3 linked regions of the Saccharomyces cerevisiae S288C genome follow. The gene in region 1 interacts genetically with each later gene. Each region holds a gene or a part of one and is shown on either strand. Other genes may lie near its edges.

What was found.
Region 2: mutations in FRT2 (region 1) and FRT1 are lethal when combined (synthetic lethality), as found in Saccharomyces cerevisiae (2 studies listed by BioGRID, with this or other methods).
Region 3: of FRT2 (region 1) and HIS3, extra expression of one rescues a mutant of the other (dosage rescue), as found in Saccharomyces cerevisiae (one study listed by BioGRID).

What each region holds. Positions count from the first base shown.
Region 1 is NC_001133.9:91,160-95,083, forward strand, and holds FRT2 (Frt2p), read left to right. Parts: upstream 1-1,740; coding exon 1,741-3,327; downstream 3,328-3,924. Other genes in the region: MYO4 (myosin 4), read right to left, coding at 1-1,111; DNA-binding protein SAW1, read left to right, coding at 3,528-3,924. UniProt on the Saccharomyces cerevisiae protein: Required for growth under high NaCl, alkaline pH and cell wall stress.
Region 2 is NC_001147.6:922,683-926,704, forward strand, and holds FRT1 (Frt1p), read right to left. Parts: upstream 2,359-4,022; coding exon 550-2,358; downstream 1-549. Other genes in the region: PRO2 (glutamate-5-semialdehyde dehydrogenase), read right to left, coding at 1-223; MYO2 (myosin 2), read left to right, coding at 3,039-4,022.
Region 3 is NC_001147.6:719,970-723,108, forward strand, and holds HIS3 (imidazoleglycerol-phosphate dehydratase HIS3), read left to right. Parts: upstream 1-1,976; coding exon 1,977-2,639; downstream 2,640-3,139. Other genes in the region: BFR1 (Bfr1p), read right to left, coding at 1-96; MRM1 (Mrm1p), read right to left, coding at 501-1,739; DEAD-box ATP-dependent RNA helicase DED1, read left to right, coding at 2,942-3,139.

The sequences.
Region 1 (3,924 bases):
ATAATTCACATGCGATTTGCAGGTTTTGCTCTTCCGATGATAGTGATGCGTCGTTTCTAGTCATTTTCATCTCGATATTACCTATATGTAGCAAGCCTGCAAGAATTTTGAAAATTCCAAGCTGAGTCTCGTGGTTTATACCTACTAATGACAGGGCATCAGTGGTTATCTTGTATTCTCGAGCTTCATCTATACCAGCTATGTTCGGCTGTCCACCTTGGTTAGTATAATGGTAGTCCTTGGGAGATGACAAATGCAGTTCTTGTTTTACCGGTTCTGGCAATCCTTCCAAAATTTGGTAAAAAATATGGTAATTTCTTTCTGTCTCTGGCTGATAAACTAACCTGGATTTTTCCAAGAGATAGGTTCTAATTTTGGACCCCCTGATGGTAGTATTCTCATCAAATAAAATTTGCAGATATTTGCCGAAACGAGAGGAATTATCATTTCTGGTAGTTTTGGCGTTACCAAAGGCTTCCATGATCGGGTTAGTAGCTAAAATTTGGCTCTCGATTTGAGACATTTCCACTTCCCCTTCACGATTGTTGCTTTCTTGGACTGAGGCAAAGTATCTCATAATGTATTTAGCAGAGACGGTCTTACCAGCACCGGATTCACCACTGACTACAACAGTCTGGTTAGCCTTTTCATGGACCATGAACCTGTACGCCTCCTCTGCTATGGCAAAAAGGTGCGGCTCCAGCTCATCTTTACGCTTACTAGAATAATTCTGTATCATCTCGCGAGAGTACAAATGGTCGACTTTATCAAAGGGATTAGCGGCAATAAGGACAATACCAGAGTAAGTATATATCTGTCCATTCATGTATCTTTTTTTTATGGCATGCAGCACTGCCGGTTCGTTCAGATATGATAGGGTGGTTAAGTCATCAGTAGACTCTAAAATAGGTGGGTTTCGTAGTACAGGTAGCGTGGGATGATCATCATCATTTTCGAAGCTATTTGTTTCAATGGATACAGTTTCTCCATCCTCCAATTTCAACTCTAAGTGGAACGTTCCTTCAAAGAAGTCATTCTTGGTGACTTCGCCGCCTATCCAGCCTTGTTCTTTGTGAGGGTACCAACACTTAGTTCCTACTTCAAATGACATGCGGGAGAACTGGTTATAGGATTTTTTTTGTTTTTTTGTGTTTTAGAATTAGATTGAATTATAAAAAGAAGAACAAAAGGGTATCGTATTGAAAATAAATTGTCTCGCCAAACTGGTAACAATGTTTTCAGCTAGAACAATAAGAAAAGAAGAGAAGGTAAAAAAAAAGGTGATAACTCCGTAGGAATTGAGGAATTGAGTATGCAGAATCAGAATAAAGGCTGACTTTCAAAAAAAGGTTGTATTACAATTGCAGGTTTTCGATAAAAGAGACCCTATTCTCATCTACTACTGCTAAACTTCGAGATATTTTCGAATTTTTCAGTCTTTTCTTTTTTTTTTTTCGCATTAGTTCAGAACCCTAAAGAATGGTAAACATTCTATGGATAACCCGGAGAGTGAGTTTCTTAAAGACCTAGTTTTATTTTAAGGGTTTTAACTCAATCTTGATGTTTTCATTGTGTACCCTAAAGAAAGTTTAAGAATAGCCCTAACTGTTACCTTTTGAAATAAAATAAGGGGAAGGTCAAAAAGCTATTGTTCTATTGTTATGAAACATTGTCTCAAAGAGTAAGAATAACACAAATTGATGGCAGTTTTTTACGTAGTCCAGTAGTTGTCCAGGTACAATGCAAAATGCTCAAATAAAGAGCTCTTCTAAAGGCAGCGGAATAGATGGTACAGATCGCAATAGCAAAGATGGTGTAGAAAAGAGACCCCTGGAAGATGTAAAGCAAATGATTGACGCTGGAACACCAGATGTTGGCCACAAATCTACTGTTGAAACTAAGCCAAACGTTGGATGGCAAGCCTCTCACAGTAATTTGGCTGCATTACACGAAAAAGAGCAGAAATATGAAATGGAGCACCATCATGCTCGTCATAAACTGCATCGTCAAGTTATTCCGGATTACACGTCTGCCTCGACCGCAATGTTCAGCGATTGTATGTTCAACGCAGCACCAGATAAAGTACGAAGTCTCAGTACGATGAAGTCTTCTGGACTCTCGCCAAAACACCCATTTAACGTAGTCGCCACCTTTAAAGGACCATTCCCGCAGCATAGTGTAGAATCAAAGCCTCTCGATGGTGGATACTCTGCCAAAGACCATTTTCCCTCATTTAAGATGTTGCAAGCCCAGCAGCACCCAGCCCATCGCCATTACAAAGACAACGACAAGTACGGTCTTAAATCACCTTCCCGGTCCTTCGTGAAGGACAAGAAAAGGTTGGTTCACCGGTTTTTGAAATCCATGGAGCCTTCTTCGTCTGGGCAATCTAAGGATTCGTCTGCACTGGCGCCGGCTTTCGATCCAATATTGCCCAATGTTATATCTAAGCCTTCCAAGCGACCCACACATCATTCGCATTCATCAGACGGGAGTTCTAGCACGCAGACAGATATATCGTTACAGAGCTTGCTTTACCATGATCTTGAAAGCTCACCAAAGAAACATGTTTCGCCCTCAAGACCGCCCTCTGTAGCTTCCGAATCCTCTCCTGCCGTTGCTAATCCCATTGGGCTTTCGCCAAAAGACGCCTGCAATGCATCGTTTTCGCAGTCGTCCTCATCTTCGTTGTCTTCTTCTTCATCGTCTTCATCATCGACGTCATTCTCACAGTCAGTGGCTGTTGATCCTCTTGAACCTCCTGGAAATATCACATATAGTAGTTCGAATCTTTCGCTAAATTCAGATGAATTAGACTACTATCAGCGTCATATCGGATTGCAGTTACAGCAGACAGAAGCTTTACTAAAGCACAGTTTGAAAGATGAGGTTCTGAAAGATGAAAATGACCTTGTTAAAAACATTGCAAATTTTGACAAGATCGTTAAAGAGCTAAGGGACTTAAGATCCAGGACCATTGGATGGAAAGAGCTTGTTGAAGAGGATTATTTAATGAATTTGAAACAGGATTTTGACAAGGAAAACCCCGAATCATTTGAGGCACGTTTGAGTGATACAATAAATACAAACGTGGCAAAATTACAAGATTTAGAGAAAAGAATGGCTTCTTGCAAAGACAGGTTGGCCTCTAGGAAGGAAGTAATGAGGAAAATGGAAAGTTTATTGTCTTTGGAGAATTCCTTAATGATATCCAAAAAAAATGTAACATTCGCATCTAAATACCGCAACGAGGCCCTTGATATTGTCTTTTTAATTATCATCATCGTCATATGCTATACCTTCAAGCATCTAGTATCGCATAAATAAAAAATAGTATTTGTATATCAAAAAATGATCCTGTGATTTTTTCATATGTAACGTATAAATGTAAAAATGTGCTTCTTCTGGTATTTTTAATCAAGTGGAAAGATGAGTGGAAAAAAGGGCAATGAAATAGAAAAGGACAGGCCTGAAAGGGAAGAATACAAGAAGATTGAGTATATTGGACTTCACAGTAACCGTGAAAAATGGCACCAAGTATAGCAACGGTAAAGATAGCCAGGGACATGGTTTTGCCATTACGTATATTTGTCAATAGAAAGCAGATCCTTCAAACCAATGATAAGACTAGCAATAAGTCGAATGCCACTATATTTGAAGCACCATTATTATCAAATAACTCCATAATCTGCTTAAAATCACCAAATACAAGAATATATTTATCGCAACAAGATAAGAAGAATCTTTGTGACGAGATCAAGGAGGACCTGTTATTGATTGTTTACGAACTAGCGTCCCCGGAAATCATCAGTTCCGTACTCAGCAAAATAAGAGTTGGTCATTCTACTGATTTCCAAATCAACGTTCTGCCCAAACTTTTTGCAGGTGCCGATACGGATAATGCGGTAACTTCTCACATCCAGT
Region 2 (4,022 bases), on another chromosome or scaffold:
TGTCCCCTTTAAATAGGTCGAGACGTTTCAATAAAGAATCCGCTAGGCCAGTCTCTTTGGCAACAGCTAAATCGATTTTATTCGCTTCTTCAATGGCATGCGCATTAGCCTTCAGGGCATCGTGAATTTTGTATAAAATATCTGATCTGCCCTCGTTTGAGATGGTTTTCAAAATATTCCCTGCTTTACGGGCATTTTTGGCTATTTGTTGTGAACTGGACATCTTTATATTGGTTGCCTGTGCTCCTTTTTGTTCTTACTCTTTTTACCAATACGCTTTTACTTTTTCTCTTCTTTTCTTGAAGCTTTTTGAAAAACGTCTGTCGACTTTTTTCATTTTTTGACTCATTGACCCAACGCCACAAATGAACAAAGAAATTTGGCCACTGCATCGCCTTTCCTGCCCCATTGATTCAAATGTCCATGCGCGTTGATTGATGTGTGATATATATATATATATATATGTATATAGATGTATATTATTATGTTCAGAGGTGATTTTATCTTTGTACGCGTACCATTTTTGTAAAGTGACCTTGTTTTGACTTTTTAACGAGTAAAAAAACGAGTTAACAAATTCTTGACGTAAACGATAAAGCCGCCCATCAAAAGAAATGCAATAATGTCAATGATGAAATACCTATACAGGTAGATGGATTTCGTGTTGTTCTTCGATTTATTTAACACGTTTTTCAGCTCTATCAAACTATCCATTTCCCTTAGAGAGGACTTTTGTTTATTTAATCTCTCTTGGCAAACCTCCATTCTCCTTTCCAATCCTTGTAATTGCGCTACACTTTCTTCGACTGATATCTTTAATTCATTAATAAACGCCTTATTGTCATCCTCGTCAAAGTCTGATTTCAACTTGACCAAGAATTGATTAATCACCGTGGTTCGCAAGGTGGTCATTTCGTCTAATAAAAGGGTTAACTCTCCTGATAGAAGATCATACTTTTGGATAGTTTTTTGAACGTTGTTTTCATTCTTGATTATTGTATCGTTTAAATTTCTTCTCATCTCATTCTCGATCTTCACTAGAAGTGTCGAAATATGATTTTGATAATAATTCAATTCATCAATGTTATCATTCAAATTTGAGTTGCTCTTCGAAATAGAGTTTGAGCTAGAATCAGGAGTGGCTGCGGAGCCATTATTATTGTTCACCTTCAGTACACTCTTGAACCTAGTGGAAGAATCCGCTGACTTCTGCCTATTCAGTAAATACTTAAATCCCAAGGTATCGGTGCCAGGTGCAGTGGAAGAGCCTGATGAATTCCTTGGTTTCCTCTGGTTAGTCAAATATCCTAAAGAGGGATATACACCGTTTAAACTTCTTCTATCCACATCTTCTGAATCTGATGAGGTGGATGACGTGGACGAAAAGGCTGATGACGACAAAAATGCTGGTACATTAGAACGGGAATACAGAAATGACGAAGAATCGTTGACAGCAGAACCGTCCAAATCATGATAAAACAAAGATGTGCTGGGGGAGGAGTTTACGGAAATTTGTGATTGAGAATGCATATTCCCTAATTTAATGCCGCCAGCGGTGGATGAGGGCTCAAACACTACCGACTCCCTCAACGTATCAAATGGGTCTGAATTTCCCAAAGAAGGCTGTAAAAATTGGTTAACCAATCGTTTCCTCTCATAATCAAAAGAACCAGCGGATGATCTACGTTGCGAAGAGGAGGAACCCTGTATTTGATTGAAAGCTAGCCCAGTATGACAGCTTTGGAAAACGGACATCGAACCACGACGTCCTTTACTAAGGCAAGACAATCTGGCCCTATTAGAGTTGAAGTCGGTTTTCGGCGACACTCTGAATGGATCATCCAAACTGGATGCCCCACTATATGATCTACTGTGTCGACCTACTCTGTTATCGATGTCATCTTCAAACAAAAAATCGCTAAACTTCCCGGTTTTGGTCGATCCCAGGACAGGTAAGCTAGTCATTTCCAATGAACGTTGTCGTACCCCATGTGCCCTATTCTTTGTCACATATAAATGTCTCCTATCATGCAGCGCAGGCTGTTCCTCCTTTTCTTTCTCCCTTTCCTTTTGTAACAACGATCCCAAGTTTACTTCAGTGCTTGGTCTTGGGACCACCGGATTATCATTCACTGCTATGACAGGTAATCTAGAAGATGATTTCGAAAAGTGTGCAACATTTGTTTTAGCTTGTAGAGGTTCCGGCTGCGGCTGCGGCTGTAGACCGGATTCTTTTATCTTCACTGCGTCGCCACTGGAAGCCCTTCTTCCCTTACAAAAGCCTCTTGGGAATGAAGGAGGTAACAGGGTACAGTTCCTCGATCCGGGATTCTCCATCCGGTCAATTAGCAAGTTCATTTTCACTTAATGTATCAACTATAACTTAAACCAAAAAAAAAAAAAAATTTAGATATGGGAAGGTCTTTTCCTCCACAAATAGGGTGAACTATCCGACCCAGATCAATAAATAAATAGGCTCGAAGACGCCTCAGAACTCCGGTCACTGGTTTGTCTTGTTGATATACGATGTGCCAAGCGCCGTTTCTCGATGCTTATCTGGTTTAGTTTACGCTGTTAAAACCAAAACCCCAACAGATTTTCGACCCTAACGTATGTAGGGCTAAAATAGATATTGAGTAGGTTACAATTAATTATTGGCAATTGCACCTAGTGACACATTTACGAAAACGTAGGGCAAAAACTATTACCCGACCCAGGGCTATTTTGTGATTTTTTCCTTTTTTTTGTTTATGATCGCGCTTCTCGAAAAGCCAAATATCAGAAATCCCAAACACGCCTTCATTTGATACGATTCGTAGCCTGCGTTTCAGAGATCTATCAACTTTGCAAGGCCAATCAGAGAACAAAAAAGTCTCGCAAAGTCATTTCACTTTTCTCGCTTGAAATTATTCGTTCGATTTCTGGCTGCTTGCTTGTTTTTTGTTTTCTAAGGTACTATTCGACACCATTCCATTGGACAGCGATACTTATACCATTGTACATATAGGACATAAAAACAGCAGATATTACAGCGTATAATGTCTTTTGAAGTGGGTACACGATGCTGGTATCCCCATAAAGAATTGGGCTGGATTGGGGCGGAAGTAATCAAAAATGAGTTCAACGACGGCAAGTACCACCTGGAGTTACAATTGGAAGACGATGAAATCGTGTCCGTGGACACAAAAGACTTGAATAACGATAAGGACCAATCTCTACCGCTTCTTAGAAACCCTCCCATTTTGGAAGCAACGGAAGATTTGACCTCTTTATCTTACTTGAATGAGCCAGCTGTTTTACATGCCATCAAACAGCGCTATTCTCAATTGAATATCTACACATACTCGGGTATTGTTCTGATTGCTACAAACCCTTTTGATCGTGTCGACCAGCTTTATACACAAGACATGATCCAAGCATATGCGGGAAAGCGCAGAGGTGAACTGGAACCTCACTTGTTTGCCATTGCCGAAGAAGCGTATAGGTTGATGAAAAATGACAAACAAAATCAAACCATTGTGGTAAGTGGTGAATCTGGTGCTGGAAAAACGGTTTCTGCCAAGTATATTATGCGTTATTTTGCTTCTGTAGAAGAGGAAAATTCCGCTACTGTACAACATCAAGTGGAAATGTCGGAAACAGAACAAAAGATTCTAGCTACAAACCCTATCATGGAAGCATTTGGTAATGCTAAGACTACCAGAAATGACAATTCTTCCAGATTTGGTAAGTATCTAGAAATTTTATTCGATAAGGACACATCTATTATTGGAGCAAGGATCCGCACATACTTGTTGGAACGGTCCAGATTAGTTTACCAGCCGCCAATTGAGAGAAACTACCACATATTTTATCAATTAATGGCTGGATTACCAGCTCAAACCAAGGAGGAATTGCATCTTACCGATGCCTCAGATTACTTCTACATGAACCAAGGCGGTGACACCAAGATCAACGGTATTGATGATGCCAAAGAATACAAAATTACAGTAGATGCATTGACATTAGTCGGAATCACCAAG
Region 3 (3,139 bases), on another chromosome or scaffold:
AGTGTCGATTTTTTTCAATTGAACGTTAAGAGTGTCCAATTTCTTGTCTCTAACGGAGACATCTGGGCGCTTGAACTTGTGTTGTTGGGAGGACATGGCAATGGCTGTGTTGTTAGAAAATATGCTATTACGTTGATAAAAGGAGGAAAGGTGAAATCAGTTCAAAAATGTGAATGAAACTGAACGAAGAAATGACCAGAATGAGTGAAAAATGGAGATGGAGGGGCAAAATGAAAAAAAAAAAAAGGATGAACCTAAAATAGAAAATAGACTCCGTCGTACTTTAATGCTATGTATAACGCAACCAAGCAATTTTCGAAACTCAATTTGGCTTATAAATGTTCGAGATAAAATGCGAATTACGTGTTCAACGTCGTCGAGATCAGTTATTTTTTTTCACCGCCACAGTGCGGGTAAGCAATTTTTCGCGTACCACCACCATTACACATGTATAATGTATATAGGCTTATTATGTATGTTTGTGCTACTTTATATGACGGTTATTTACAAGTTAGAATATTATCTATTAACAATGCAGTAGCCACGCTTACGTTTAGTGAGTCAACAATGGGTTCTGGGGCCCGATTGCCTTTCTCAATGCCACCAAAGGGAATTTCGACGAAGAAGTCACTCCTCATCTTCAAATTCGTTCTTACGCCCTGGCTTTCGTTCCCCACCACTAGAACAACAGGCAGCTCGTTACATAATCCGTTCAAATCGTGCATGCTAATAGTTTTTCCAACAGTGTATTTTTCTGACGTGGCATTAGCTAAGTGGCTTGTAATAAACGTCCAGCCACCCATTTCTTGTGATTTAGTAAAAAACTCTAACGGTTTATCAACGTAAAATATGGGCAGAAGTTCGAGGGCCCCACTGCTTGTCTTGGACACCACAGGCGTCAAAGGAGAGCAGTTTCTTCTCGACATCACAATGAAGTCAACCCCCAGGAAGTAAGCGCTTCTAATAATGGCACCGATATTGTGAGGGTCAGTTATTTCATCCAGATATAACCCGAGAGGAAACTTCTTAGCGTCTGTTTTCGTACCATAAGGCAGTTCATGAGGTATATTTTCGTTATTGAAGCCCAGCTCGTGAATGCTTAATGCTGCTGAACTGGTGTCCATGTCGCCTAGGTACGCAATCTCCACAGGCTGCAAAGGTTTTGTCTCAAGAGCAATGTTATTGTGCACCCCGTAATTGGTCAACAAGTTTAATCTGTGCTTGTCCACCAGCTCTGTCGTAACCTTCAGTTCATCGACTATCTGAAGAAATTTACTAGGAATAGTGCCATGGTACAGCAACCGAGAATGGCAATTTCTACTCGGGTTCAGCAACGCTGCATAAACGCTGTTGGTGCCGTAGACATATTCGAAGATAGGATTATCATTCATAAGTTTCAGAGCAATGTCCTTATTCTGGAACTTGGATTTATGGCTCTTTTGGTTTAATTTCGCCTGATTCTTGATCTCCTTTAGCTTCTCGACGTGGGCCTTTTTCTTGCCATATGGATCCGCTGCACGGTCCTGTTCCCTAGCATGTACGTGAGCGTATTTCCTTTTAAACCACGACGCTTTGTCTTCATTCAACGTTTCCCATTGTTTTTTTCTACTATTGCTTTGCTGTGGGAAAAACTTATCGAAAGATGACGACTTTTTCTTAATTCTCGTTTTAAGAGCTTGGTGAGCGCTAGGAGTCACTGCCAGGTATCGTTTGAACACGGCATTAGTCAGGGAAGTCATAACACAGTCCTTTCCCGCAATTTTCTTTTTCTATTACTCTTGGCCTCCTCTAGTACACTCTATATTTTTTTATGCCTCGGTAATGATTTTCATTTTTTTTTTTCCACCTAGCGGATGACTCTTTTTTTTTCTTAGCGATTGGCATTATCACATAATGAATTATACATTATATAAAGTAATGTGATTTCTTCGAAGAATATACTAAAAAATGAGCAGGCAAGATAAACGAAGGCAAAGATGACAGAGCAGAAAGCCCTAGTAAAGCGTATTACAAATGAAACCAAGATTCAGATTGCGATCTCTTTAAAGGGTGGTCCCCTAGCGATAGAGCACTCGATCTTCCCAGAAAAAGAGGCAGAAGCAGTAGCAGAACAGGCCACACAATCGCAAGTGATTAACGTCCACACAGGTATAGGGTTTCTGGACCATATGATACATGCTCTGGCCAAGCATTCCGGCTGGTCGCTAATCGTTGAGTGCATTGGTGACTTACACATAGACGACCATCACACCACTGAAGACTGCGGGATTGCTCTCGGTCAAGCTTTTAAAGAGGCCCTAGGGGCCGTGCGTGGAGTAAAAAGGTTTGGATCAGGATTTGCGCCTTTGGATGAGGCACTTTCCAGAGCGGTGGTAGATCTTTCGAACAGGCCGTACGCAGTTGTCGAACTTGGTTTGCAAAGGGAGAAAGTAGGAGATCTCTCTTGCGAGATGATCCCGCATTTTCTTGAAAGCTTTGCAGAGGCTAGCAGAATTACCCTCCACGTTGATTGTCTGCGAGGCAAGAATGATCATCACCGTAGTGAGAGTGCGTTCAAGGCTCTTGCGGTTGCCATAAGAGAAGCCACCTCGCCCAATGGTACCAACGATGTTCCCTCCACCAAAGGTGTTCTTATGTAGTGACACCGATTATTTAAAGCTGCAGCATACGATATATATACATGTGTATATATGTATACCTATGAATGTCAGTAAGTATGTATACGAACAGTATGATACTGAAGATGACAAGGTAATGCATCATTCTATACGTGTCATTCTGAACGAGGCGCGCTTTCCTTTTTTCTTTTTGCTTTTTCTTTTTTTTTCTCTTGAACTCGAGAAAAAAAATATAAAAGAGATGGAGGAACGGGAAAAAGTTAGTTGTGGTGATAGGTGGCAAGTGGTATTCCGTAAGAACAACAAGAAAAGCATTTCATATTATGGCTGAACTGAGCGAACAAGTGCAAAATTTAAGCATCAACGACAACAACGAGAATGGTTATGTTCCTCCTCACTTAAGAGGAAAACCAAGAAGTGCCAGAAATAACAGTAGCAACTACAATAACAACAACGGCGGCTACAACGGTGGCCGTGGCGGTGGCAGCTTCTTTAGCAACAACCGTCGTGGTGGTTACGGC